Linked DNA regions of Callithrix jacchus. The protein of the gene in region 1 purifies or fractionates together with the protein of each later gene. This does not show direct contact. Links are inferred from orthologs where the notes say so. Each region holds a gene or a part of one and is shown in the gene's direction. Other genes may lie near its edges.

The links.
Region 2: the proteins of SART3 (region 1) and LARP7 purify together in Homo sapiens (affinity purification with mass spectrometry; 4 studies listed by BioGRID and IntAct, counting the BioPlex papers as one, with this or other methods). This does not show direct contact. The link is inferred for Callithrix jacchus from reciprocal best matches to the Homo sapiens genes SART3 and LARP7.
Region 3: the proteins of SART3 (region 1) and TUT1 purify together in Homo sapiens (co-immunoprecipitation; 4 studies listed by BioGRID and IntAct, counting the BioPlex papers as one, with this or other methods). This does not show direct contact. The link is inferred for Callithrix jacchus from reciprocal best matches to the Homo sapiens genes SART3 and TUT1.

Annotation. Positions count from the first base shown.
Region 1 is NC_133510.1:111,417,245-111,427,023, reverse strand, and holds part of SART3 (spliceosome associated factor 3, U4/U6 recycling protein), read left to right. Parts: intron 1-2,057; coding exon 2,058-2,213; intron 2,214-2,951; coding exon 2,952-3,090; intron 3,091-3,559; coding exon 3,560-3,667; intron 3,668-4,368; coding exon 4,369-4,446; intron 4,447-4,577; coding exon 4,578-4,636; intron 4,637-6,299; coding exon 6,300-6,409; intron 6,410-9,743; coding exon 9,744-9,779. UniProt on the Homo sapiens protein: U6 snRNP-binding protein that functions as a recycling factor of the splicing machinery. Promotes the initial reassembly of U4 and U6 snRNPs following their ejection from the spliceosome during its maturation.
Region 2 is NC_133504.1:84,551,936-84,561,814, reverse strand, and holds the start of LARP7 (la-related protein 7), read left to right. Parts: upstream 1-4,901; 5' UTR 4,902-5,034; intron 5,035-5,207; exon of another isoform or gene 5,208-5,659; intron 5,660-6,965; 5' UTR 6,966-7,084; intron 7,085-9,879. Other genes in the region: 5'-3' DNA helicase ZGRF1, read right to left, coding at 955-1,035, 2,174-2,197. UniProt on the Homo sapiens protein: RNA-binding protein that specifically binds distinct small nuclear RNA (snRNAs) and regulates their processing and function.
Region 3 is NC_133511.1:119,858,363-119,868,241, reverse strand, and holds the start of TUT1 (speckle targeted PIP5K1A-regulated poly(A) polymerase), read left to right. Parts: upstream 1-5,460; 5' UTR 5,461-5,548; coding exon 5,549-5,630; exon of another isoform or gene 5,631-5,820; coding exon of another isoform or gene 5,821-5,836; intron 5,837-7,915; coding exon 7,916-8,106; intron 8,107-9,879. Other genes in the region: metastasis-associated protein MTA2, read left to right, coding at 249-437, 542-616, 738-796, 964-1,061, 1,175-1,314, 1,574-1,802, 1,953-2,042, 2,390-2,508 and 2 more. UniProt on the Homo sapiens protein: Poly(A) polymerase that creates the 3'-poly(A) tail of specific pre-mRNAs. Localizes to nuclear speckles together with PIP5K1A and mediates polyadenylation of a select set of mRNAs, such as HMOX1.

The DNA of each region.
Region 1 (9,779 bases):
TCTCCCGTACTCCTCCTCCCTTTCCACGTACAGAGCCCGTGTGTTCTCTTACTCTCCCGCACTCCTCCTCCCTTTCCACGTACAGAGCCCGTGTGTTCTCTCACTCTCCCGCACTCCTCCTCCCTTTCCACGTACAGAGCCCGTGTGTTCTCTCACTCTCCCGCACTCCTCCTCCCTTTCCACGTACAGAGCCCGTGTGTTCTCTCACTCTCCCGCACTCCTCCTCCCTTTCCACGTACAGAGCCCGTGTGTTCTCTCACTCTCCCGCACTCCTCCTCCCTTTCCACGTACAGAGCCCGTGTGTTCTCTCACTCTCCCGCACTCCTCCTCCCTTTCCACGTACAGAGCCCGTGTGTTCTCTTACTCTCCCGCACTCCTCCTCCCTTTCCACGTACAGAGCCCGTGTGTTCTCTTACTCTCCCGCACTCCTCCTCCCTTTCCACGTACAGAGCCCGTGTGTTCTCTTACTCTCCCGCACTCCTCCTCCCTTTCCACGTACAGAGCCCGTGTGTTCTCTTACTCTCCCGCACTCCTCCTCCCTTTCCACGTACAGAGCCCGTGTGTTCTCTTACTCTCCCGCACTCCTCCTCCCTTTCCACGTACAGAGCCCGTGTGTTCTCTTACTCTCCCGCACTCCTCCTCCCTTTCCACGTACAGAGCCCGTGTGTTCTCTCACTCTCCCGCACTCCTCCTCCCTTTCCACGTACAGAGCCCGTGTGTTCTCTCACTCTCCCGCACTCCTCCTCCCTTTCCACGTACAGAGCCTGTGTGTTCTCTTACTCTCCCGCACTCCTCCCTTTCCACGTACAGAGCCCGTGTGTTCTCTCACTCTCCCGTACTCCTCCTCCCTTTCCACGTACAGAGCCCGTGTGTTCTCTCACTCTCCCGCACTCCTCCTCCCTTTCCACGTACAGAGCCTGTGTGTTCTCTTACTCTCCCGCACTCCTCCCTTTCCACGTACGGAGGCTGTGTGTTCTCTTACTCTCCCGCACTCCTCCTCCCTTTCCACGTACAGAGCCTGTGTGTTCTCTTACTCTCCCGCACTCCTCCCTTTCCACGTACAGAGCCTGTGTGTTCTCTTACTCTCCCGCACTCCTCCCTTTCCACGTACAGAGCCTGTGTGTTCTCTTACTCTCCCGCACTCCTCCCTTCCCACGTACAGAGCCTGTGTGTTCTCTTACTCTCCCGCACTCCTCCTCCCTTTCCACGTACAGAGGCTGTGTGTTCTCTTACTCTCCCGCACTCCTCCCTTCCCACGTACAGAGCCTGTGTGTTCTCTTACTCTCCCGCACTCCTCCCTTCCCACGTACAGAGCCTGTGTGTTCTCTTACTCTCCCATACTCCTCCTCCCTTTCCACATACACAGCCTGTGTGTTTTCTTACTCTCCTGTACTCCTTCTCCCTTTCTTTTTCATGTATAAATGACTTGCATGTGCCTGTGTTTCACAAAGCCTCAATTGTTCAAGTATGTCATGGCCACGCGCAAAATGTGGCTGAAGAGAAAACATGTCGAATAAGAAGATTTTTCTTGAAAAAGAATTGATTGTGTGTCTTTGGATCAGTAAACATTCAGCACAGCTGCCTCCATCTTCTGCATTTATCTGCATTCTTCCAGGGACTGATATTTGGAATAAGAAACCTGAAATAGCACCAGGCACTAAATTTTTCCACTTTGGTTGTATTAACTCTACTCAGCAGCCTAAGAATGTGACTTCTGGTTTGGAAGGGTGGTTAACAGTGGTCACTGGCACAGGTGACCTCTTTCGCTCAGTTCCTGATTGATGGGCCACTTAAATTCCCTGTGGTCTAGGAATGGATTTAGAAAAGGGTTTATGGAGCCTTTGTCATGACTGCCATGTACTGGCACTTTGAGCCAGATGAGAAGACTTTTGTTCTGCTCGAGAAGTTATAGAGCCCGTAGTGTATTGGCTCTGAGTGAGGATTTGGTGATTCTTAGTTAATGTAGCCAGCTTTGCCACAATTTATTTTATTTGCAGATGTGTTGTGGTTCCTGTCACTAACTAAATTCAACTTTAATACCTTTTCCTGTACTCCAGTTGCAAGCAGAGGCACCAAGGCTGGCAGAATATCAAGCATATATTGATTTTGAGATGAAAATTGGCGATCCTGCTCGCATTCAGTTGATCTTTGAGCGTGCCCTGGTTGAGAACTGCCTTGTCCCAGACTTATGGATCCGTTACAGTCAGTACCTAGTAAGATAACTGTTCTAATTTCATTTTACTTTTGCCAATTTAGACTCTACTTAGAGAAAATCAGTAAGAGTGCCAGGAGTTTGTTGCATATGGCCCTGCTCTTGCTTTTCCTCCTCTTTGCGAACTCGTTTAGAAAGTTTCAGCGTTTCAAGTTATTTTAAAATTGCCACTAACTGTAAGTAAAATTCACATATAGTCTAAGTATGTTGAGGACTAACGACAAATTGATATTTTTTCTTTGAACTTTTTATTATGGAAAAATTGTAAACATATAAAAGTAGACAGATCAGTAAAATGAAACTTCCTGTACCCCTCACCCAGCTTCAACAGTTATTAGCAATTTAGCTTTAATTTACTTTCATCTGTTGTCTCGCCTACTTGCCCCTTCTGTGTTACTCTAAGCAAATCCAGAAGTGATATTTCATTGGTAAATATTTCAGTATGTATATACAAAATATTTCAGCGTGTGTGTATAAAAGCATCCAAATGAAGTATATCCAGTAGGATTGGCTGATGTCTCTTAAGGCAGTGTTAACCTGTAAATTGCTTCTCTCCCTCTCTTCTCCCCCACTCTCCCTAGTGATTTTTTTTTTTTTTTTTTTTGCTTAAGAAACAAGGTCACAAGAGATGTTTATAAGGACATTTCTTTTGTCACTTGTTGTGCTGGCAATGTTTTGTTGATTGGTGAATTCTTGACAATAAAATTTAATTTCCTAACTCTGGAATTCTTTATCATAGGACCGGCAGCTGAAAGTAAAGGATTTGGTTTTGTCTGTACATAACCGTGCCATTAGAAACTGCCCCTGGACAGTTGCCTTGTGGAGTCGGTACCTCCTGGCCATGGAGAGACATGGAGTTGATCATCAAGTAATTTCTGGTGCGGATGTTTTTGTGGGAGAACTTCTAAGCTATTTGTCCCAAGTGAGAAATAGACCTGGGACAAAGTCATTAAATCAGTGTTCCCTGGGGTTATCTTTGGGTTATGGAGTGTAATGACAAAAAGGGCTCTGAGTGAGAGATGAACTGGTTATATTTGTGGCTTCTTAGAGCTTTTTAACATGCTAATATTTATTGCATTTCCTGAGAAGTTGTAGTTTTTTTTCTCCAAACTTCCTTGACCTGGAACTCTTCTTGCAGGGCGTCTCGTGGAAGAAGTTTTTTCTAGAACACAGTCTGTAGAGTGCTGTAGCAACTTCTTTCTTAAACTTTCCTGTCTAGCTCATTTCTTTCTGTTACATCTATTAGTCTTTAAAGTCATGTAGTCTTTTATAGTCAAGTCAAATGTAGTAACTTTATTAGCTTCCGTTTGAATTGGTAACAAATCCTGACTTTTTCTCTGACTCCAGTAACCTTTGAGAAAGCTTTGAATGCTGGCTTCATCCAGGCCACTGATTATGTGGAAATTTGGCAGGCATACCTTGATTACCTGAGGAGAAGGGTTGATTTCAAACAAGGTATGTAAGCACATGTGTTTCACTTCAGAACTGATCATGGTCTTAATACAGTTTTTGGCGAGATGCCCCAGTTCCCCAGATATATTGTGATTGGGCAGATGATGTAGACCAGGCATGGGTGACTTTCCCCCCAGAAATCTTAGCAATTTATGTCTTTAACAAGTCATGCTATGGATTGTAAAGCAAGAGAGTAATGGTCGTTACATTTTATACTGGCTCTTGCCAGTCTCTTTAGTCTTAGCTCTCATTTCTCCCTTCTGGCCTTTTTATTTATCCTAAATACTTCTTGAAATAAGACTGCTGTGTTTTAGAAAAATCTTTGTACCTCTTTGGGATCCTCTGCCCCCCTATTCCCCAGAAAACAACCAGAAAACCCCTAACTTGTACACTTGTGCCAGCTGTTACCTCATGCAGGTAACCTTTAGCCGTTCTCCTGTTTGCCTGTGTCACCCCAGCTAGGGGAGACTCCCCACCACAGCATCCTGTGTTTGCCTCTGTCACCACGCTGTCCATACTCTATTCTAATTTTTTCTCTTCACTATGTGATGAGGGCAGGAATTGGCAATTTTATTTCTGTGTCCCTTGCATGATGCCTCCAGTACATAATGGGTCTCCAGACAGTTTCAGCGTAGGATAAAAAACAAAACAAACAATGCCATGCTATATGGTTTCCTAAAGCCTTTTTTTGCTGTTTCCACTAGACTCAAGTAAAGAGCTGGAGGAATTGAGGGCCGCCTTTGCTCGAGCCTTGGAGTACTTGAAGCAGGAGGTGGAAGAGCGTAAGTATGTCCCCGCCTGTGGCTTTGCCCAGTTGTATTTCCTGGTCTATACTATTTGCTGGTTGATGTACCTTTTCAGCCAAAGGCTATTTGTCTCTAAGTTTCTAATTTTACTAATGCTGTTTTTGAAGGTTTCAATGAGAGTGGTGATCCAAGCTGCGTGATCATGCAGAACTGGGCTAGGATTGAGGTAAATGTTTTTGACAAATCTATCACTTTCATCCACTATTGTTTAATAGCATCCTATTAAACCTTAATTAAAATTGAGTCAGAGTCCCAGATAATGGCCTAAGCTCTATAAGGATTTATGTTATTTACCTAGGTAGTAGTGTAGGCTCTACAAGGGTTCATGGTGTTTACCTAACTTGACTCATATTTGTAAATATGTTGGTGAAAATATTAGCTCCCAGCTAGAAGTTGTGTAGTAAATGTCTGAATGCCAGGTATTTACTCATTTACATCCATCTCTGCCTCTTTGCTTCATTTTTGAGAGCACAGTGAGTGGGTACTCTTTGTCAGCACTGTACCACTGCTATGGGAATAAGACAGATACAATTCCTGTGCTAGTAAGACTTCTGTCTAATATGGAGAGCAGATGATTTGACAAGTAATTAGAGGATATGATCATTTGGATGTCATTACTGGGTCAGGGACACCAAGATCAGTAAAACACAAAACCTGCCTTGATCAGCAGGTAGGATTGTAACAATTCTAATCATGTTTTATCCTCTGAGGGAGAGTCAGATAGAAGAGACTTAACATTTGTCAGGTAGTTTCTGTATGGGATGCTTAGGTTTTAACCATTTTAAAGATGAGAAAACTGAGAATTACAGTTTAAGTAATTTGCCCAAGTCACAATTTGTAAGTATTAGTAGCAGAGTGTGCATTTAATACTAGATCAGTCTTTTTTAACATTATCTCCCAAATACTTTTAGTTCCACTTGATAAAAATAAAAAACAGGTCGGGCGCGGTAGCTCAAGCCTGTAATCCCAGCACTTTGGGAGGCCGAGGCGGGTGGATCACGAGGTCAAGAGATCGAGACCATCCTGGTCAACATGGTGAAACCCCGTCTCTACTAAAAATACAAAAAAACTAGCTGAGCACGGTGGTGCGCGCCTGTAATCCCAGCTACTCGAGAGGCTGAGGTGGGAGAATTGCCTGAACCCAGGAGGCGGAGGTTGTGGAGAGCCGAGATCGCGCCATTGCACTCCAGCCCAGGTAACAAGAGCGTAACTCTGTCTCAAAAAAATAAATAAATAAATAAACAACAACAACAACCAAAAAAAAAACAAAAAAAAGAAAACAAATGACTGTCCAGTAAGTACCATGCACTCCCTCTCTCGGTTCTCAGGAAACGTAGGCAGATAAACTCGTCACTGCAGAAGGGCTCAAGTGTTTGGGCTGGGCCTTTTACCACTAGAGGGAGGCCTGGGAAATGCCCAGGGTCATCTGTAACACTGATAGTCATGGGGTGCTTTTTTTGTTTGTTTGTTTGAGACCGAGTTTCGCTCTTGTTACCCAGGCTGGAGTGCAATGGTGCGATCTTGGCTCACCGCAACCTCCGCCTCCTGGGTTCAGGCAATTCTTCTGCCTCAGCCTCCTGAGTAGCTGGGATTACAGGCACGCGCCACCATGCCCAGCTAATTTTTTGTATTTTTAGTAGAGATGGGGTTTCACCATGTTGACCAGTATGGTCTCAATCTCTTGACCTCGTGATCCACCTGCCTCGGCCTCCCAAAGTGCTGGGATTACAATGGGGTGCTTTTTATGTGTGTCGGTTGGAAGTATGTTGTATGATGGGTGTCAATGTCATAAGGTTTAGGTCTCCTAACAGCCTGTTGATGCACTGTAGGCTCGGCTGTGCAATAACATGCAGAAAGCTCGGGAACTCTGGGATAGCATCATGACCAGAGGAAACGCCAAGTACGCCAACATGTGGCTAGAGTATTACAACCTGGAGAGGTAACTGATCCCGGGGAGGGGAGGGAGGCGGTGCTTGTCAGCTATGCCCCTGTCATCACTCCTCGCCGACTCCTACCAGCTTGGGCAAACTCCGTAGAACTGGGCTGCCTTCTTTCATTCTGTCTTTTTCATTAGTGGGTACATTTTTAATGGATAGGGCTAGAGAACCAGACATCATATTTTGTGCCTGGAACTCTTATAGCCATGCATTTCTTTTCATTTGTTTTTGTTTTTATTTTTGGGCATGATATTTTATTTGACCTTTTGGAACTACTTATTTTTTATTATATTTGCTTTTATAGAAAAGTAGAAAATACTAAAAAGCTAAGAGAAAAAAAACTCAAATTACTAACCCAGTCATAACTGTGCATGACCCATTCTTTGAGACTTTTCTATGCTTAAATTTTTTTGTAATGAAAATGCAGTTAAAGCATACATGTGTTACAAGCCTTTAAAACCTATTTGAATGAAATAAGATATGCCTAGCAATATTTATAACATGGGGAAAACATAAACAGTGTGACCAACTTTTCAGTTTATCTTGAACATTATACATTGTATAACATTGCTACATTGCTGTTTATTTTTGAATATTTTTTCCCTATTTAAAAAACACTGTATGCCCAAGTTAGTCAGAATATTTACACAAATATGTGATAGAAAATGACAGTTTCTTTTCTTTTTTGGGGGGTGGTGGGGAGTCTTGGTCTGTCGCCCAGGCCAGAATGCAGTGGTGTGATCTCAGTTGCAACCTCCACCTCCAGGGTTCAAGCAGTTCTTCTGGGATTAAGGTGTGGTCCACCTTACCTGGCTAATTTTTGTATTTTTTTTTTAGTAGAGGCACAGTTTTCACCAGGTTGGTCATGCTGACCTCAAGTGATCCTCCTGCCTTGGCCTCCCAAAGTGTAGGAATTACAGGAGTGAGCCATCGCATCTGGCCGAAAGTGACAGTTTCTTATCGTCCCACCCCAGAGATAATCACTGTTAAAGCTTGTTGAATATTCCCCTAGATCAGTAGTTCACAATTTTTTTGGTTTCACGATCCCTTTTCCACTCAAAATTGGAGGATCCCAAGAAACTTAGGTATGCGACTTATATCTATTGATATTTATATAATTTATAAATTGAGAAATCTCAAAAACACTTAAATTCATTTAAATATAACAAATCATTTGACATTAATAACTGTTTTAACAGTGACTGTTTTCCAGACCCCAAAATAATTTAGTGAGAAAAGTGGCATTGTTTTCTATTTTTGCAAATATATATTTAGTCTGACTTAGTATAAGACAGCTGAATTCTCATGCCTGTTACTGCATTCCGTCTTTTGTGATCTGTTTTCATTGAAGAGTGTGAAGAAAATTTGACTTTACCCAGATTAAAGGTTAGAAAAGAAAAGTATTTTAGTAGCATTTTCAGATAATTGTGGGTATTCTTTCATACATATTATAGCAAAACTTCAGTGTTGGCATGTGTAATCTGAAACCATATTGACAGATTCTGTTACAGTAATATCCACTTGTCTATTTTATCTCTTATGTGATGCCATAATTCTATGACATTATTTGGAAAAATCCCAATTCACTAAATCATGCAGCTCTTCCAAACGTTGACTTATTTTATTCTATAGTATTACAAAATCATATTTGTTCATATCTGTACTGATTTTAGTAGAAAAGTATTATACGTAGGAAGCTGTCAGACTTGTGGTGGCAGATAAAAGTTTTCCAAAGATTATAATTTTCACTTGAAAGCTTGAATTTTATCACATGCAACAAATAATGTCAGTGGTTTTCCTCAGAGTGGCAGCCTCACTTTGTTAATTTTCAGAAATGTCTGCCAAATACCCAGGTCTGAGTAACTGACTGGTTTGTCACTCAAGTGTTCTTTCGAGTAAAAATGGTGTCTATGAAAAAAGTGGCTTGATCAGCTTGCAACTCAAACGGTAACATGCGTTTCTGTTTTTTGCAATAACCATTTACTTCAGTATGCAGAAGGGCTTTAAGTGTATGTAGCATTTCGTCACACAGTGCATTATTATTATTATTTTGAGATGGAATCTTGCTCTTTCACCTGGGCTAAAGTACAGTGGCACAGTCTTGGCTCACTGCAACCTCTGCCTCATGGGTTCAAGCGATTCTCCTGCCTCTACCTCCTGAGTAGCTGGGATTACAGGCATGCACCACCACGCCTGGCTAATGTTTGTATTTTTAGTAGAGATGGAGTTTCACCATGTTGGTTAGGCCAGTCTTGAACTCCTGACCTTGTGATCCCCCCATCTCAGCCTCTGGAAGTGCTGGGATTACAGGCGTGAGTCACTGCACCAGGCCTCACAGTGCATTAAAAAGATATGTACTGCCTTGATTTGTGCTAAGGGCCACCATTTCTTGTGCACTGTCTTGAAGATGTCAACACAGTGAAAAAGTCCAGTAACATCTTGGCATTTATTATAAAAGGAGTTTTGTCTTTGCAGGCCTCCTAAGAGGCTCTTGGAGATCCTCAGGGGATCTCCAAGGGCATATAGGTACATGGATCCTACTTTGAGAACCAGTGCTCTGAATTTTTTCTGAGTGTCATAATATGTATTTATAATACTTCTGTATATTTAAAATGTTTTAAAAACAAATGCGAATATACTGTTTCATAACAGTTATGACTAACAGAATTGTTGTGTAGCTGTTGTGATTAGCAGTATACAAAAAAGGTCTGTTTGTGACCAGCCTGGCCAAGCTGGTGAAACCCCATCTCTATTAAAAATAAAAAAATTAGCTGGATGTGGTGGTGGGTGCCTGTAATCCCAGTTATTCAGGAGGCTGAGGCAGGATAGTTGCCTGAACCTGGGAGGCAGAGGTTGCAAGTTGCAGTGAGCCAAAATTGCGTCATTGCATTCCCACCTAGGCAACAAGAGCGAGACTCATCTTAAAAAAAAAAAAGTCTGACTCTGAATATGAAATTTGACACTACCCTGGATTCTACTCCCCTTGGGTAGGACTCCATAGTAAAATATCCCTAGGGACTGTATCAGGTTACAGAGAGCTGTTGGATTCCCCAGCCATGTGTGCACATGTGAATGCTGTAAAGGCAGAATGCTGGTTGTAGATCACATTCCGAGATACGCTTTTCAATAGCCCCTACATGGCTGAGGGAGAGAGTAGTTTAGGGAAAGCCTTCGTAGGTGACTAGGACAAAGTATCGTGGATAGATCTGAAAGCTAAGGTCTCAGAAGCTAGAGTTACTGAAGAGTGAATTTCTACCTGGGAGAAGACAGCCTCTTCCTTTGAGTGCCTTTTTTTTTTGTGAGCTGGTGGCAGCAACTGTTTGTTTTCTGCCTTAGGGCACATGGTGACACCCAGCACTGCCGGAAGGCGCT
Region 2 (9,879 bases), on another chromosome or scaffold:
AAAGAAATGAATATATGTATAAATATATACACACATACAAAAAGACATTATTATTAACCTTAGTCACTCAGCCAGGCACAGTGGCTCACGCCTGTAATCCCAGCACTTTGGGAGGCTGAGGTAGGCAGATCACCTAAGGTCAGGAGTTCAAGACCAGCCTGGGCCACATGGTGAAACCCCATCCCTACTAAAAATACAAAAACATTAGCCAGGCGTGGTAGCGGGTAACTGTAGTCCCAGCTACTTGGGAGACTGAGGCAGAAGAATCGTTTGAACCCAGGAGGCAGAGGTTGCAGTGAGCCGAGATCATGCCACTGCATTCCAGCCTGGGTGATACAGTGAGACTCTATCCCCACCCCCCCCAAAAAAAAAAGTCACTCTATTGTGCTACAGAACATCAGACCTTATTCATTCTATCTATTAGTGAACACTTTTTTTTTTTTTGAGATAGAGTCTCACTTTGTTGCCAAGGCTGGAGTACGGTAGTGCAATCTCAGCTTACTGCAACCTCCGCCTCCTGGGTTCAAGCAACTCCTCAGCCTCCTGGGTTCAAGCAACTCCTCAGCCTCCCGAGTGGCTGGGATCACAGGCATGCACACCACACCCAGCTAATTTTTATATTTTTAGCAGAGACAGAGTTTCACCACATTGGCTAGGCTGGTCTCAAACACCTAACCTCAGGTGATTCACCTGCCTCAGCCTCCCGTAGTGCTAAGATTACAGGCATGAGCCACTGCATCTGGCCTAGTGAACTATTTTTTTTTCCTTTTTTCAGGAGGTTATTAATGAACTATTTTTATAACGCACAAATTAGCCACTGTGATTAAAAATCTGTTTTCACATCATTTCAGTTTATGGATATATTTGACATTTTATCACATAGTTTTTTAAATATCCAATCAAAAAATCAAGAACCTCACTCTTACACTCTGTAGTCAACTGCTTTGTACTCACTTTGTTTCCTAAGTGAGTGATCTTCAGAATTCCATCTTGCCACACTTTTGACTTCTTCATCTTCTGATGAGTATATAGGACCTTATTTCCAAAAACACACAAAAAAAATGGTTCCCATTATATATATTCAATGTTATATATTTCATATATCCTTCCTACATATGAAATATATTTCAGGCACCTTTCATCAAAAAAAGGCATATACACCCATATCAATTTTTTAAATTTTAAAAACAGAAGCACAGATATGATAATAACATTAAACATTAATTAAGTGAAAGAAAAAGGGAAGGAAGGAAGAGGGAAGAGAGGTAAGGAAAAGAAGAGGGAGGGAGTAAGGGAGGAAAAGAAAGGGGAAGGAAGAAAGGAGAGGAAAAATCCAAGGAAGAAACAAAAAAGATAAATGAGTACTGAAAGTAATTTGAGCTCCCTAGTCATCCGTGAAAAGGGAAAAAATTATTGAGTTACACAGTACTTATAATCTGTGCAGTTCTCAAAGTTTGGTCTAGAGACTCCTGGAGGAGTCCAAGACCTTTACAGATGTCTGTGAGGTGAAAACTATTTTCATCATGCTGTCTTTTCATCCTCACTCCTTCAGGATTGCAGAATGAAGTTTCCCAGGATTATGTATATGCAATATTGCAAGATTCAATTGCAACCTGAATGTAGAAACAAATATGAGACTCTAGTTGTCTTCTATTAAGTCAAATCATAAATACTTTTTACATATTTGCTTTAACTTACTTCTAATATGAAAAACATCAATAGATGTGAGACCTACATCTCACAAGTTCTTTGGGGCCAATAATTGTCTAGAGTGTTGAAGAGTCCTAAAACCCAATCATGTGAGAACCAATCATCTGTACAGAAAAGGCGTGCCAGTTCTTTAAGAGAAGAAATTGTTTTCCTGGTCTCACACTTCCAAAGAATAGGTTCCAAAGGACTTTGTCTAATACTTGATCTTAGCCAAAAGGCTGAAAAGTGATGATTTTGTGTCACAAATATAAATAGCAGGTACAGGTAGGGTTGCCAGAAACATATGCCAAAAAATATATGCATTGTTTATATGAAATTCAAATTTAACTTAGTAGCCTGTTTTTTGTTTTGTTTTTGCTAAATCTGTCAATACAGCAAGACGTTTGTGAAGCACCTTTAAAAGAAAGAAGGAAGAAAGGGAGACAGGAAGGGCATTTCAATTGTGAAAAATGGTAAAACTTACAATAAATTCTTGGCTTTCCATCATTTCTTCTGAAGTTATAAACTGCTGGGTCCAGAAAATAGGAAGTAGTTATTCAACTATTTATACAACCTAAAATTAAAAATGACATAAAATATCAACCTTGATTTTTTCAAAGTATCAAATATAATTTTTCTCAATAAACTCTTAACCACAGACAGACATGAATCAACAAATTCCAAGACTACCTAACTACCAAGGAAAACGGAGTTGTAATAAAATTATCTATCACTGAGGACACAGTGAAAGTGATATGCTATGAAACAAGAATTTTTTCACAAGAAAAAACTAAGTAAAATATATAAACTAATTTGGAGTCTGCAAACGTTTTTCCAGGTGCCATAATATGCATCAGAAAATACAAATTTGTCCTCCACATTTGGTTCCTTATGGTCTAAATTTAATGTTTAAAGTTTTCTGAATTGCTATAGCCACCACAAGATGGCTCCCTTGTGTTTTAAATTTTTCCTTTCACATCTTACATCAATATACCACAGTATCTAGGAACAAATATATATTATATAGTACCTCTGCAAGGAAAAATCTTTCCAACACTGTTGTAACAGTTACTGTAGTCATGCTATGCTATTGGACAAAATTGTTATTATGGGAAAATTTGGAAATCTAAAATCACTGATGGTGACCTGAAGAAGTAAACAGAAATGCCAAAGAGACGTATTCTCTTTTTTTGTTCCTAAAGTGGTGCTAAAGATGTGACCCCTGGACCAACAGTATCATCTGGCTCACGCCTGTAATCCCAGCACTTTGGGAGGCCGAGGTGGGCAGATCATCTGAGATCAGGAGTTCAGACCAGCCTGGCTAACATGGTGAAACCCTGTTTCTACTAAAAGTACAAAAATTAGCCAGGTGTGGTGGCACGTGCCTGGAATCCTAGCTACTTGGGAGGCGGAGGTTGCAGTGAGCCAAGATCACGCCACTGCACCCCAGCTTGGGTAACAAGAATGAAATTCCGTCTCAAAAAAAGAAAAAAAGAAAGAAATGACCTATTAAATCAGAAAGTCTAGGCTTGGGGCCCAACAGTCTGTGTTTTAAGAAGCCCTCCAAGTGATGGTGATGGAATCTCAAGTTTGAGAATACAGGCCGGGCGCGGTGGCTCACACCTATAATCCCAGCACTTTGGGAGGCTGAGGCAGGTGGATCACGAGGTCAGGAGATCAAGACCATCCTGGTCACCGAGGTGAAACCCGTTGATACTAAAAATACAAAAATTAGCTGGGCATGGTGGTGCGCGCCAGTAGTCCCAGCTACTCGGGAGGCTGAGGCAGGAGAATTGCTTGAACCCAGAAGGCGGAGGTTGCGGTGAGCCAAGATCGTGCCATTGCACTCCAGTCTGGGTAACAACAGCGAAACTCTGTCTCAAATAAAAAGTTTGAGAATACAGATCTAAAAAACCTAGAAGGATTCAATAAAGCTATCATGTGTAATTTGAGTTCAGTTCCTCCTTTAGACATATAAAATATGCCACTTACATATTATTTATAAGTTATATATATTTATTAAGACGTGCCAGACATTATGCTAGGCTAAAATATTTAAATGGAATCTCTATACTTCATCTCAACGAATTTCAGTATGGCAGAGTGATAAACAGTAATTTTAATAAAATATGGCAGGAGTAAGCACAGGAAGGGCACCTGGCTTGGTGTTGATCATCAAACAAGCCTTCTTCAAGGAAGTAAAATCTAAGTTGTAAGCTGAAGTAACTATTAGTCAAGGGAAGGCCAATGAAGGTCTTCCCAAACAGGAATTGATATGCCTGATGAGGGCGCTCTAATGCAATTAAGGAGTGAAGTGCAGGCCAGGCACAGTGGCTCAGGCCTGTAATGCCAGCACTTTGGGAGGCCAAGGCAGGTAGATCACCTGAGGTCAGGTGTTCGAGACCAGCCTGGCTAACATGGTGAAACTCCGTGTCTACTAAAAATACAAAAATAAGCCGGGTGTGGTGGCAGGGGCCTGTAATCCCAGCTGCTCGGGAGGGGACGGCAGAGAATTGGTTGAACACTGGAAGTGGAAGTTTTGCAGTTAGCCGAGATCGCGCCACTGCACTTCAGTCCGGGAGACAGAGCAAGGCTCAGTCTCAAAAAGAAAACCCACATCTCATTTTCAAAGATTCTAATAACCATAATCCTGTGTCACCAAATGACAATGGAGATTTGATCCTTTCTCGGTCCCAAATACAAACAGCAAAGCCCTCTTTGGTCCTCATACACACTCGAAATTGCAAAGCAGGCCCTGGGAAAAGCGGTGAACAAGAGGCACAACTTTTTACAAGCAGTTCGAGCAGCTGCGATCACCATAATCATGGTTCCAAATAGTATCCCTCCCGGTTCTCTTATGGAGCAGTCTTTCGTCCCTTCGCCCCAAATCCCCCAAGTCTCCCTGCCTATTTACCTTTCATTCCTAGGAAATCCCGAGTAACACCTTCACCTCACCTGTCAAATTCCACAAAATCCACTTTCGAATTTCTCCCGCGAAACAGTGTGACGTCATTAACACGGGACCGTACCAGATGAGGACCCAAGATTTAGCCCGCCCACCTCTGTCTCAGCCAAAAACCGACACTTTCAACCCGCCAATCATGTTCTTCCTCGGCTTTGAGCCCCTCAGCCGGCCGCGTTCTCCGATGCCCCGCCCTCCCGGAAACCACCTCGCCTGTGACGTAGGTGGCGCGCGCACTGCGTCCGGGCCTGTCTTTCTCGACTGGGACCGAAGAACGCTGTCGCTTGTCCTATGACGCGAAAGTAACCAAGACTGTCGGGATCGGGAGGCTGAAAGAACTGAAGGCCGCAGTACTTGACCCTTTATTTTGGGAGTTGAACGGAGTAAGTTACAGGCGGCCTATATGGTCGCTCAGCTTGCGCGAACTCGAAATAACTCCGTTCTTTTTCTCGCGGTCTACTCTATCATCTGTTGTCCTTCTTACCCCGCCCCCCTCACGCGCTCCCATCAGTTCCTTGGCCAAGTTCTCTATGCGCACGCGCCAAAGTCCTCCGGCAGCATTTGTAGTTCCCGTCTTCCGAGAGTGGGGGCGCTTAGGGACCCTGCGTGGGGAGGTTTGGGGCGCGCCGAGCAACTGACGGCGTCCGTGCGGAAATACGGATGCCGACAGAAGCAGTAGTCAGTAAAGAGAGTGCCTTATTTCGCAAATCGGAGCTGAGCTATGGCTGCCAGAGGATAACGAACGTGAGGATTTATATTCTAAAATTATCATCTTCGTTTGCAGGACTCTGCCATCGTCCTCAAAGCGTTAAAAGTCCAGTTATGGAAGGGAACTAACAATAAATGCTAGATACGGTATGCAGAGTGCGTTAGTAAAGAAACTTAGAGAAAACAAATGAGGAGGCAATTAATTAGAGACCACATGGTGGTGGAAGACCTCAAAGAGTAAGCTGCCATTTAACCTGGATCTTGAAAATCTAATAAGGAAATTGAGAAAATTCAGACAAGGTAAAAGACCCAGGCCACTTAGTGTTGAAGGATTTGAATTGTAGGCAGTGACTAGAGCAATGATTCTTAACCTGTTTTTGGCACACTTCTTTTGAAAACATAGTAAACGTTATGGATTAGTTTCTCAGGAAAACATACATGTTCACCTGTTAAAACATTTTCGAGGCTTGACACGATGGCTCACGCCTGTAATCACAGCACTTTGGGGGACCAAGGCGGGCAGATCACAGGAGATCGAGACCACCTGGTCAATATAGCAAAACCCCGTCTTTACTAAAAACCCCAAAATTAGCGAAGAGCAGTGATGCATGCCTGTAGTCTCAGCTACTTAGGAGGCTGAGGTAGGAGAATCGCTTGAGCCCAGGGAGCGAAGATTACAGTGAGCCGAGGTCGTGCCTCTGCACTTCAACCTGGGCAACAAAGCGAGGCTCCGTCTCGAAACAAAACAAACATTTTAGTCCAGACACGGTGGCTTACGCCTGTAATCCCAGCACTTTCGGAGGCCGAGGCTGGTGGAACACCTGAGGTCAGGAGTTCAAGACCAGCCTGGCCAACATAGTGAAACCCCATCCTTTTTGTAAAAATACAAAAATTAGTTGGGGGTGTGGTGGCGGGCACCTGTAACTTCAGCTATTCGGGAGGCGGAAGCAGGAGAATTGCTGGAACCCGAGAGGCAGAGGTTTCAGTGAGCTGAGATCGCACCATTGCACTCCAGCCTGGGTGACAACAGCAAGAATCCCTATAATTTCCTCAGAAAAAATTATGAAATACTTTTTTTTTTTTTTTTTTTGAGACGGAGTTTCGCTCTTGTTACCCAGGCTGGAGTACAATGGCGCGATCTCGGCTCACCGCAACCTCCGCCCCCTGGGTTCAGCAATTCTCCTGCCTCAGCCTCCTGAGTAGCTGGGATTACAGGCACGCGCCACCGTGCCCAGCTAATTTTTTGTAATTTTTAGTAGAGACAGGGTTTCACCATGTTGACCAGGATGGTCTCGATCTGTTGACCTCGTGATCCACCCGCCTCGGCCTCCCAAAGTGCTGGGATTACAGGCTTGAGCCACCGCGCCTGGCCACGAAATACTTTTAAATAGCAAACACACACACACAAATGTCTTGGTGTCAGGCTCACTTTTCCAGGTTATCTATGTATAATCTTTTAACTATTTTACAACTGTTTAAGCTGTAGAAAGCAATACGGAAATTAGGTTTGTCCAATAAAGATGCAATTAATTATTGTCCTGACTAGTATTTATTAATATTTATTTCAACGTTTCTAATTATGTACCTGCTTTTTTTTTTTTGACAGAGTTTTGCTTTTGTTGCCCAGGCTGGAGTGCAATCTTGAAATCTCGGCTCACCGCAACCTCCGCCTCCTGGATTCAAGCATTTCTCCTGCCTCTGCCTCCTGAGTACCTGGGATTATAGGCATGTGCCATCATGCCCAGCTAATTTTTATATTTTTAATAGAGATGGGGTTTCTCCATGTTGGTCCTACTGGTCTTGAACTCCTAGCTCAGGTGATCCACATACCTCGACCTCCCAAAGTACTGGGATTACAGCTGTGAGCCACCACAGCCAGCCTGAACTGGTTTTTAACACTTAACTGGTTTCCTCATTTACAGTCAGGCACTACATAATGACAGACCACATGTATGACAGTGGTCCCATAAAATTGTAAGTGTGTAGTAGCTGATACTACCTAGGTTTGTGTGAATATATCATAGAATAACTGCACGCTCTGTGATGTACTTACACAATCACCTGACTATGCATTTCTCAGAATGTGTCCCTGTCATTATGCAACCCATGACTGTCCTTAAATCTTTACCATGAATTCATTTTATATTTGTACAAGAGTCTTTTTTTTTAACCTTATCTTTAATGTGTATCATTTAACAGTTTAATGGAGCCCCCAAGAATTCTTGTCCAAAGTTACATGGACTTCAGGTTAAGAATTCCTGAGTCAGGCCGGGCGTGGTGGCTCACGCCTGTAATCCAAGCACTTTGGAGGCCAAGCTGGGCAGATCACCTGAGGTCTGGAGTTCAAGACCAGCCTGACCAACATGGTGAAACCTCGTCTTTAAAAAAAAAATTGAAAAAAAATTTTGAGTCAGAACATAGAGTCCATGGTGATAAATTGCAGGAAATTCTACCAGAAGGTAGACAATCTGGGATCAAACATACCTGAGACAACTTACTTAGCTAGCTTTGACCAAGTGACTTAACCTTTGAGTCTTAAGAAGATGGAAGAACCAGCCTGACCAACATGGCACCCTGTCTCTACTAAAAGTACAAAAATTAACCATGCATCCCAGAGGCGGAGGTTGTAGTGAGCCAAGATTGTGCCACTGTACTCCACCCAGGGTGACAGAGCAAGACAGTGTCTAAAAAAAAAAAAAAAAAAAAAGGAAGAAACTGCTACCTTGTGGGATTGTGAGGATTTACAAAAATGTATATAAAGTAACTGGTGGTGTTACATGGTAACTTTTATTCCAGTAAAATGTTACTTTTTTTTTAAGCAATGTTTTCTTAAATTGTGTATTATGTTACAGGAAGGTGCTTAGGAATTTCAAATGTTGCATGTTTTGACATAAGCATCACAAAACCAAGTCTGTATTTTAGATGGGTTATACATAGGCTCCTGCTGAGAACAGATGACTTACAGAACAGTTTATAAACTGTGGCCATATTCTAGTGACAGTAGTTGCAGAAAACACTGGATGGAGATGAGGAGCCATTTCAAAAGTCAAACTGATAAGATTTAACAACAGATTGAATAGAATAATGGTTACTTATTGTGTTCTGTGTATCAGCAATTTGAAGTACTTTATTTTCATTATTTTGGCTAATGCTGACGACTATTACATAGGTATGATTTTTATCCATGTTTTATAGACCACAGAGAGATGGTGTAACTTCCTCAAAATCCACACAGCTAATAAATAGCTTGATTGGTTAATTTTTGGTGGAATATGGCATCCTTAAATAAGTTGAAGGAGGCCAAGGTAGGTGAATCACCTGAGGTCAGGAGTTCAAGGCCAGCCTGACTAACATGGTGAAACCCCATCTCTACTAAAAATACAAAATTAGCCAGACATGGTGGCAGGCATCTGTAATCAGCCTCCCAAAGTGCTGGGATTACAGGTGTGAGCCACCATGACCAGCCGAAGAAAGTATTTTCAAGGAGGAAGTTACCAACTGCATTTGCTGCTGAGAGGTCAAGTAGACCAAGCCCATTGAGGACTTTGCAGTATCTCTAGAATGGTGCAGAGGAAAGCCTGACAGAATGGGTTGAAGTAAGACCATTAGGTGAAGAACGTGGTTATGTGGTACTTAATGACACCTGATTGTTTTTCTATTATTCTGACCTGTAGCTGTGTTTTATGTCTTAAATTAGCATCACCTAAATATGATATTACTTGGATATCTTCAAACTTGGTGCTTGACTGATCTACTGAAGCCTGTTCTAAAATGCCAAAATGTCCTTCTGTTGATGAGAATGCATGTTTAGTTGGAGATTTGAGGTGAAATGCATTAAGGGCTTTGGACCCTCTTACCAGCTATCAGACTCAAGTGATTCAAATACTATGTTTACCAAAGAAAGATACAAGGCAAAAGATAGGGTAGATATAGCTTCTTCATCCCAGCAATGGCCAAGCCATTATATCTAGCAATTACCCAGATTCGTTTCTTTTTTCTCCCATTTACCCACAAGAGGCATGTATGGCTTCCCTAGATAAGGACCAAGGTGTGTTTAGGATAATTTGACACATAAAAGCTTTAACACCTTTTGCCTGTCAATCTGTTGTTCCGGTCACATAGGTATAAGGCCTCCATGTCATTCAATAGCTGCTCCAAACCAGGTACAACATGGGAAACAGATACAACACTCCCCATTGGTTTCTCCAGTTTCCAAGAAGACTGTATTATGGGAGACTGAGGTTATTCTCAAGCAGGCTGTGTTATCCCAGACCGGATCCTTTGCTCATATACCTCAAGTGATTCAATTCATTCAACAAAATGTAGGCACAATTTATTCAACAGATTTTTAAGGGACTGTTGTGGCAGGGACTGACAATCTGTCAGTAAACAAAACAGACAAAAATCTCTGATTTCATTGATCTTACATTCTAGGAAAGAAAATGAATTGCAAAGTAGTTGTAGTAATGTTAGATGATAAATGCTATGGACGAAAATAAGACATGGAAGTTACCATGTAT
Region 3 (9,879 bases), on another chromosome or scaffold:
GAGGCAGAATTGCTTGAACCCGGGAGGTGGAGGTTGCAGTGAGCCGAGATCATGCCACTGCACTCCAGCCTGGGTGACAGAGCGAGACTCCGTCTCTTTATTTATTTATTTTTATATATATTTTTATTACCCCCCCCACCCTCCGACTTCATCTCAAAAAAAAAAAAAACGAAAAAAGAAAAAGGAGCAGCAGAAGGGAGTGGTGCTAAAAGTTTCAGGTCCTCAGTTGTTCTCCATCTTCCCTGTAGTTTCACGCCATGGATACGTTGCAAAGGAATGGCTATGACCTGGCTAAGGCCATGTCGACCCTGGTACCCCAGGGAGGCCCAGTGCTGTGTCGGGATGAGATGGAGGAATGGTCAGCCTCAGAGGCCATGCTATTTGAGGAGGCCCTAGAGAAGTATGGGAAGGACTTCAACGATATTCGCCAGGATTTTGTAAGTGGATTGGGCTAGGAGGAGAGGTGGGAGAGGTGACAGGTGAGGGAACCAGGACCTGGGGGCAGATACCAGCTCATTCTTCTTCCCTCTGCCCGCCTTAGCTACCCTGGAAGTCACTCGCCAGCATAGTCCAGTTTTATTACATGTGGAAAACCACAGACCGGTATATTCAGCAGGTATCATTTGAGCTGGGGAGGGTGGACCAGAGGCCACCTGCTGACCTCTGCTTTTGAAGTTGATGACATTCTCCCTGCTGTGAGGCTCTGATCCTTTTTTTTTCTTTTTTCCTTCCTGCAGAAAAGATTGAAAGCTGCTGAAGCAGACAGCAAACTGAAACAGGTCTACATCCCCACCTAGTAAGTGTGGTGGGTGGGGAGACTGGAGTGTTTCCTTCCCTTCCCCTGACTTGTGTCTCTCTCAGTGGGGGTGGGCAGGAGGTAAGGTCAAATTGAGAGTGGAAATTGATTCTTTTCCTTGACCAGTTTCTTGATTTTTTTCCTCTTCTCCTCACCTCCCCCATTAGCACTAAGCCAAACCCTAACCAGATCATTTCTGTGGGTTCAAAACCTGGCATGAATGGGGCTGGATTCCAGAAGGGCCTGACTTGTGAGAGTTGCCACAGTGAGTGACGGGGCACAGGGATGCTGGGGCGAGGTGGAAGGCCTGCGGTGGCTCAGGAACCTGTGGGGCTCAGGTAGCATGCTTCTTCCCTGTCCCCTCTCCATGCTCTACAGCCACACAGTCTGCTCAGTGGTATGCTTGGGGCCCACCTAACATGCAGTGCCGCCTCTGTGCTTCCTGTTGGATTTATTGGAAGAAGTATGGGGGGCTGAAGACCCCAACTCAGCTTGAGGGGGCCGCTCGGGGCACCACGGTAAGGACCAGTGGGAGGAAAAGTAGGAGAGAGCGGTGAGCATATTGATGTGAGCTTAGGCGAAGGCCAGAATACCCAACTCTTTACATGGTGATGGTTTGATGGGCAGGGGGTACTTGATGCTGGTTGGAGAGACACTAGGCCAGGAGGTCAGTAAAGAGACTAGGCAGGAATAAATTGTCCTCGGGAGGGAATGGAAGAAAGAAGGGAGCCTAAGTGCTGATTTCTATTCTCTCTCTTTCCTATGCTCTTCTTCTAGGAACCACACTCGAGGGGTCATTTGTCCAGACCTGAAGCTCAAAGTCTCTCTCCTTACACAACCAGCGCCAACCGGGCCAAGCTACTGGCTAAAAACAGGCAAACTTTCCTACTTCAGACCACGAAGCTGACACGTCTTGCCAGACGCATGTGCAGGGACCTATTACAGCCAAGGCGGGCTGCCCGACGACCTTATGCTCCTATCAATGCCAATGCCATCAAAGCAGAGTGTAAGGGCAGGGAGCAGTGGGGCTGGTGGTTTAGGGTTGCTCTGCCCAGAGACCAGTGTTTCTCTGGATGTTAAGATTAGACTTGGCTCCTGGCCTCAGAGGAGACCTGAATGGTGAAGCCCTTCAGAAGCTTTCATCTTTTTTCTCCAGGCTCCATTCGACTTCCTAAGGCAGCGAAGACTCCTTTGAAGATTCATCCTCTGGTGCGGCTGCCCCTGGCAACTATCGTCAAAGATCTGGGTATGGGATGGGTACCAGTGAGGGTGGCGTCAGGCTTCCAGTCCCTTCCCTATCAGACATCTCACCCCTTGCATTTTTTCTTAGTGTCCTTAGAGAGTTAGTCTAAAAAAGTGCACTTTCGTTGTTTAATAATTTTTTTGGTAAACTATTCAGTATTGCTGTATTGATTTGATAAGGTCATACTGATACTTGAAAAATACTAGTTAGCTTTTTTGCCAGAACCTTCCCCCATTGCTACTTTTGGGGATGCCCAGGTAAACTGCTGGTCCACGGAAGAGAGATGGAAGTAACAAAGGGGAACTGTGTAGGGAAGTAAAGGTGCAAAACTTTACTATTTTTTTTTTCAGTGGCCCAGGCACCCCTGAAACCAAAAACACCTCGGGGTACCAAGACTCCAATCAACAGAAACCAGCTGTCCCAGAACCGAGGACTGGGGGGCATTATGGTGAAACGGGCCTATGAGACTGTGAGTTGACAGAAAAGGGTGGGCCAAGCTGAATTGGGCGGGCTTTTGTTTCTCATAGGAGTCTGAGAGGGTCCTTTCCCTCACTGTGCCATCCTACCCTTTTCCAGATGGCAGGGGCAGGGGTTCCTTTCTCTGCCAATGGAAGGCCTCTGGCTTCAGGGATTCGTTCAAGCTCACAGCCAGCAGCCAAACGTCAAAAACTAAACCCAGCTGATGCACCGAATCCTGTGGTGTTTGTGGCCACAAAAGATACTAGGTAGGCAGTCCACCGTGGGAGGGGCTAAGAGGGATGGTCCAGGCTGGTGAGTGTGGGGAGTAGCAGTATCAGAGCATGAGCTCCAGGAAGATTGTGGATGCAGGGTGGGGATGCCAGAGGAGAATGGGCCAGAAGGCAGAACTGCAGTGGGGAATGTGGGGCTTCCCCTGGAGGTCTTAAGTGTTCTCTAAGCCTTTTCTGTTTCCCACTTGCTCTTTCTGGCCAGGGCCCTACGCAAGGCTCTGACCCACCTGGAAATGCGGCGAGCTGCTCGCCGACCCAACTTGCCCCTGAAGGTGAAGCCAACGCTGATTGCAGTGCGGCCCCCAGTCCCTCTACCTGCACCCTCACATCCTGCCAGCACCAATGAGCCTATTGTCCTGGAGGATTGAGCACCTGTGGGGAAGGGAGGTGGGCTGAGAGGTAGAGGGTGGATGCCCAGGGCACCTGAACCTCCCTTCCCTTTCCTGTCAAAGGGAGTGAGGAGTGAATAAAGGAAGGGAGCAAGTGTGTGTGTCCCTGGAGGGGTTGGGCGCCCTCTGGTGTTACCACCTCGAGACTTGTCTCCTTATGCCTCCGTGCTTGCTGATGGAGGACAGACTGCAGGAACTTGGCCCATGTGGAAACCTAGCCTATTTTGGGGGGTAGGACCCACAGATGTCTTGGACAGTTTTGGGGGGGAAGGGTTTTTTAATTTTTTAAAAATTTTGCCTCCCTTTGTGAAAGGGGATGGGAAGGGGAAGAGTGCACAGATATCAGGTGGTGGTACCTGGTTGGGGGAGGGGGGCGTGCACTGCCATGTCTTTTTTTTTTTTTTTTTTTTTTCCTAATTGGGGGTTTCTCTTTCTGTCCGGTGTCCGGACTTTCCTAATTGGAGTTTGAGGCCCCTAAGCTGGCATCAACCCCAGGCCACGCTCGCTCTTTCCTTCCCTCCCCTCCCCCTCCGCCTTTTGTACGCCAGTTCTCAGAAATAAAGATCTTTTGTCCGTTTTTTTAACCTCGGATTCTGTAATTGGTTCTTATAGTAACAAATAAAAAGCTGTTTTCTTCAGCTTCTCCTGGCTCAGCTGTTCTCTGCCATGGGTGTGTGTTGTGTGTGTAGGGGGTGTCTTTGAGAGAGAATAAAGGACAAAGGACAACAAGGGCAGCACAGATGGTTCTTACCCTGGGAACAGCTTTATGAGATATGCAGCCTGGACAGAGGTGACTTGCTCCAGCTAGCCTTCTGGTGGGACCCAAATTGCTCCCTAGCTCCCAGTGGTGCTGGAGCCCAAGCACCAATTGGCCCAGATTCGTTCAAAGGAGTTGAGATGAGCTTTCTGGGTGGCTGGTGGCCTCCACAGGAAAGGACACTGGAGGTGTTTTTTCCTCTGTTTCCTACCTCTTACTCCCCTCTCCCTTTTATTTAAGGAATTCTGGAAGTTGCTAGCAGCCAGGGTGAGATGTATAACACCTTGGTGGTGGTGGGGTTAAAGGAGGATCCTTTCACCTAGCTGTGTGGTGTTACTTGGCAGGTGAGAATTCTACCACTGAACACCTGAGCACCTCTGGGTGTATGTTTACAGCCTGCTTACTGCCTCAGGAGCCTCAAGGCCAGCCTTAGCAACTGCCTTGATATCCTGATTCACTGTAACACCATTTCCTGCTTTAAAGGTTTGGGACACTGAGATTAGATGCCTGAGTTGGGCCCATTAGAAGGAACACCTTAGGGGAGAGAACAAAAAGTTCAGCCTACTGTGTGCTCCTTGGGCACTTCCTTTAGAGATGGGGAACAGCCTCAGCACTTGCGACTTGCTCGCTGTCGCCTTAAGTCCATTTCTCTTTGCATCATTCAAAGCTGTGGGCTGATAACTACAGTACAAGCTGCCGAGCCCACATGATGGTCCTCTGCACCTTGTTATGGTCCCTGTCCCTAGGGCATCCCCAGCTCCCGTAGGTAGCCCCTCACTGTCCCGAGCCTTCATCTCAGCGGTGTTCGGAGGAACTGACAATTATACCTGCTGGGGTTCAACAGCATTTCTCCCCTCCAGTGTCTTTACTAGGTTACCAGCACTCGGTTTTGTCTTGTCGCACTGTCGCACTGCTCCGAGGTGCGACAGTGGCTCTGGCACCTCCGGAGTACACCACGCAGCCCAATACTGCGGAAGGAATGGTCCTGGCTCCCGGGACCTCATGGAGTCCGGAAGGTGCCCGATAGTGGCAGAGCTCCCTAACTAGGGCTAGAAGCAGTCGCAGAATACCCGTTTTGCGAGAGGACAATGGGAGGAAAGGGAGGGAGTACCAGCCCTGAAAAGATTGGAAGTCCAGGGACAGTCCTGGGCTCCGTGGGGCAAAGGACTGAAAGCCGCCGATCCTCCTCCGCCTTTATTCGTCGGGCAAATAAGGGTCGAAGGTAAGGAAGCACGAGTGTTTACTGCTGGGAGAAGGAGGGGCCGCGAGACACCACCCAGCGCCGGCCTTTGTGGCTGCTGTCATAAATATTTACGCCCTTTGGGCCAATCGGCGTCTGAACAGTTTAGAGCACACCAATCGGCTTACTGCATGCAGATAAGCATCGTAAGGCGCGGCTTTTCCCAAAATGGGCGGGGACTTGACACCGGCTAGAAACGGAACCCGGAGTAGCTGGAGCTTGGTTTCCGGAGGAGTTTGTCCGCGCAATTGGAAGACTTTTTGTCACTTCCTATCGGACGGGCGGAAGTTACTTCCGAGCGCGTTGAGCTTTGGAGAAGTGGGTTCTGGTGGTGGCAGAGGTGCTTGTGTATTTGTCGGTACAGGAGAGTCGCTATGGCGGCGGTGGATTCGGATGTCGAATCGCTGCCGCGTGGGGGTTTCCGCTGCTGCCTGTGCCACGTTACTACAGCCAACCGTAAGCGGTGGCTAGTGAGGGACCTGGGTGGTTACGGGCTTTAGTCTTTTGATCCTGGCGAAAGTTAGGGTTATAGGTCTTCGTTCCTGTCAAGTCGGTTGGTAGGGTCTCACCTCCGTTTTTACTCCGCAAGTTCGAGGGGATTTGGAGAGTCGAGAAAGTCCCACCACATTACACTCCTCCTCAGTATATGACATCTCCACGACGCAAGTTTCATTGTTTTATTCCTTCTTTAACCGTCATCTGTAGGACATATGCTCTGTGGCTGGTATTCTGCTGATCTTTAGGGTGGGGGAAGGGGGTTCAGAGATGGAGGGGCTCACCCTCTAGAGATGGAGAAAGTTTCAATGCTTTGTAGTTATGTTTGGAGAACTGTGGGACCACAGAGAATCGGTAACTAAGTCAGAGAAGCCCTACAGAGGACTTACTCAAAGGTGGGGACGGATGAAATAGGTGGCATGAATGACTAGACCATAAGGTACCAGTGAGAAAGAGACAGAAGATGGGTTTCGAAAAACAGACAAGGTTCTTGTATGACAGAGAAGGAGTTTATCAAAACCGCAAATTCCACTTTTTTTTTTTTTCCTTCTGAAACAGGCTCTTGCTCTGTCACCTAGGCTGCAGTGCAGTGTTGTGATCTTGGTTCACTGCAGCCTCAACCTCCCAGGCTCAAGCCATTCTCCTGGTTAGCCTCCCAAGTAGCTGGGTGGACAGGCGCGTACCACCACACCTGTCTAATTTTTTGTTTTTCTGTAGATACAGGGTTTTGCCATGTTATCTAGGCTGGTTTCCAACTCCTGGCCTCAAGTGATCTTCCCCTCTTGGCCTTCAAAGTACTGGGATTACAGGCGTGAACCAAAGTGCTGGCCCCACTTTTGAAGTCTGGAATCACAGTCTTCCCTGTGGGTCTACTTCCATTCTTCCTTTTCTCTGTGAATGGCACTATCACTGTTCATCCAATAGGCCAGGCCAGAAACCTAGGCGTCTTCCTTGGCCCCACATTTACTTTGACATCAAGCAGCTAACTCATAATAAAATAATAGCAATGGCTAGTTTTTTGACATTTACCATGTACGAGACTCTCCAAGTGATATATATGAATAATACCTGTGTGTTTGGTGCTAGGTACTTTTATTTCCATTTTATATCTGAGGAAGTAGGTGCACAGAGAGGCTTTGTAACTTGACCAAGATTTCATACAGCTTCACAGAGTTGGGACTTGAACTTGGGCAGTGTGATTTCAGATCCTGCCCTTGACATCACTATACCATACCATACCCAGAGATGACCCACGAAGTATTCCAGGATCCTAATACTTTTTGTTGTTGTTGTTGTTTTGAGATGGAGTCTTGCTCTGTCACCAGGCTGGAGTGCAGTGGCACGATCTTGGCTCTCTGCAACCTCCACCTCCCGGGTTCAAGCGATTCTTCTGCCTCAGCCTCCTGAGTAGCTGGGACTACAGGCACGTGCCACCACGCCCAGCTGATTTTTGTATTTTTAGTAGAGATGGGGTTTCACCATGTTGGCCAGGATGGTCTTGATCTCTTGACCTCGTAATCTGCCCGCCTAGGCCTCCCAAAGTGCTGGGAATACAGGTGTGAGCCACCGTGCCTGGCCTGAATCCTAGTATCTAGCTTTTCTGTGGATGACCTGGATAAGTTACCTGTTAATTTCTTTCCAACTCTACCTAGCACAAATAGGTGGTTTAAGCTATACTGTCGCACTGGTCTTTAAGTAAAAATTAAAAATAAAAGTAAACAAAATACTTGTGTAGCCAGTTCTCTTGGGAACCACTTAGAAAATGTACTATTTAGGCCAGGTGCGGTGGCTCATGCCTGTAATCCCAGCACTTTGGGAGGCTGAGACAGGCAGATCACTTGAGGTCAGGAGTTCAAGACCAGCCTGGCCAACATAGTGAAACCCTATCTTTACTAAAAATACAAAAATTAGCCGGGTATGGTAGCAGACGCCTGTAGTCCCAGCTACTCAGGAGGCTGAGGCAGGAGAATTTCTTGAACCTGGTAGGTGCAAGTTGCAGTGAACTGAGACTCTGCCACTGAACTTCAGCCTGGGTGACAGAGTGAGACTCTGTCTCAAAAATAAAAATAGAGAATGTATTATTTAGACAAAAGTATAAGAGAGGAAGGTGAAAGGAGCCAGGACTTTGCTTATTCAAAGGTCAGTTTCTGTGGCTTGGAAGGATCAGAGGATTAGGTATGCAGAGAGCAAGGGTAGACTCACTAAAGAGTGCTTTGGGAGTTTTTGTCTCACACTTGTCTTTGCAGGACCCAGCCTCGATGCCCACTTGGGAGGCAGAAAGCACCGGCACCTGGTAGAACTACGAGCTGCGAGAAAGGCCCAGGGACTTCGAAGTGTATTTGTCAGTGGCTTTCCCAGGGATGTGGATTCTGCCAAGCTCTCTGAGTACTTCCAAGCATTTGGACCTGTGGCCAGTATTGTCATGGATAAGGACAAGGTAAAGTGAATGGTTCCGGGGGTAAAGAATGAATCAGGGCTGGGTGTGGTGGCTCACTCCTGTAATCCCAGCAGTTTGGGAGGCCAAACAAGGTGGGCGGATCACCTGAGGTCAGGAGTTCGAGACCAGCCTGGCCAACCAACATGGTGGAACCCCATCTCCACTAAAAGTACAAAATTTAGCTGGGTGTGCTGGCACTAGTCTATAATCCTAGCTGCTTGTGATGCTAAGGCTGGAGAACTGCTAACTAACAAAACCTACAGGAAAGCAAGGCAAAAAGCACGAGCTTGTTTATCTAACACTCTCCGAGGGACAGGGTGTTCTAACCAAACAACCTCAGTACCTCTCAGTGGAAGTTAATAAACTGCTAACGGGTTAACAGTTACAGGCAGACATTGCAGGGACCCGAGATCGCACCACTGCACTCCAGCCTAGGTGACAGAGCAAGACTCATCTCAAAAAAACAATAGTAAAAATAAAAATCCAAGAGGAGGGGAGGTGTGAGAAGCTCCCAAAGCTGGACTAGCCCAAGTGCTGTGATGTCCATCAAGAACAAACCACATTAGGAACCAGCTCAAACAGCCTGTTAGTTTCTCTCTCTTGTCTCTCTGGTACACAGCACATCTGATTCTTTTTTTTTTTTTTTTTTTAAGAAGGACCCTTGCTCTGTCACCCAGGCTGGAGTGCAGTGGCACAATCTCGGCTCACTGCAACCTCTGCCTCCTGGGTTCAAGCGATTCTCCTGCCTCAGCCTCCCGAGTAGCTAGGACTACAGGCACATGCCACCACACTCAGACTCCTGACCTTAGGTGATCCGCATGCCTCAACCTCCCAAAGCGCTGGGATTATAGGCATGAGCCACCACACCCAGTCCTACCCCTTGAATTTTTTCACTCCATCAGAGTTAGTCAGTGGGGGATTTTGTGTGTGTGTCATTTATTGATTCAGTGAATTGTATTTTTTGAGATGGAGTCTCACACTGTTGCCCAGGCCGGAGTGCAACGGTGTGATCTCTGCTTACTGCAACCTCCGCCTTCCAGGTTCAAGTGATTTTCCTGGCTCAGCTTCCTGAGTAGCCACGACACCTGGCTAATTTTTTTTTATTTTTAGTAGAGACAGGGTTTTGCTGTTGTTGGCCAGGCTGGTCTCAAACTCCTGACCTCATGAACCACCTACCTCGGCCTCCTAAAGTGCTGGGATTACAGGCATGAGCCACTGCGCCCGGTTCAGTGAATTCTTTTTTGCCGAATATTTATTCACAGCTAACTTTGTACTAGGCACGATGCTTAGGGCTGCATTCTGAGTAGTGAATGGGATAGATATGGTCCCTGCTCTCATAGAGTCTGTAGTCTAGAGGAGAAAGTGAACAATTAAATAAGTAATTATAGTGAAAAGTTGGTACTTAAAGCACAACATACCATTGGATCAACTCCACAAGAACCTGGTTGATAAACCAGTTAGCAATTTATTAACTTCCGCTGAGAGGTACTGGGGTTGTTTGGTTGGAACACCCTGTCCTTCGGAGAGTGTTAGATAAACAAGCTTGTGCTTTTTGCCTTGCTTCCATGTAGGCTTTGTTAGTGTCCCTTTAGTCCCTTGAAAAAACTTCACCGTTGAAGTGCTGTGTTCCTTGGTCATACTGTGGTTCTGAGGCTGCACTCTCGTTATGTAGGCATGGCTTAGGTAATCCCAAATATCCCTTTGCAGCCCAGATTATCTTTTAGAATGGGGTGGAGTCTGTGTTTGTTAGGGATTGCATTCAGCAACCAAACT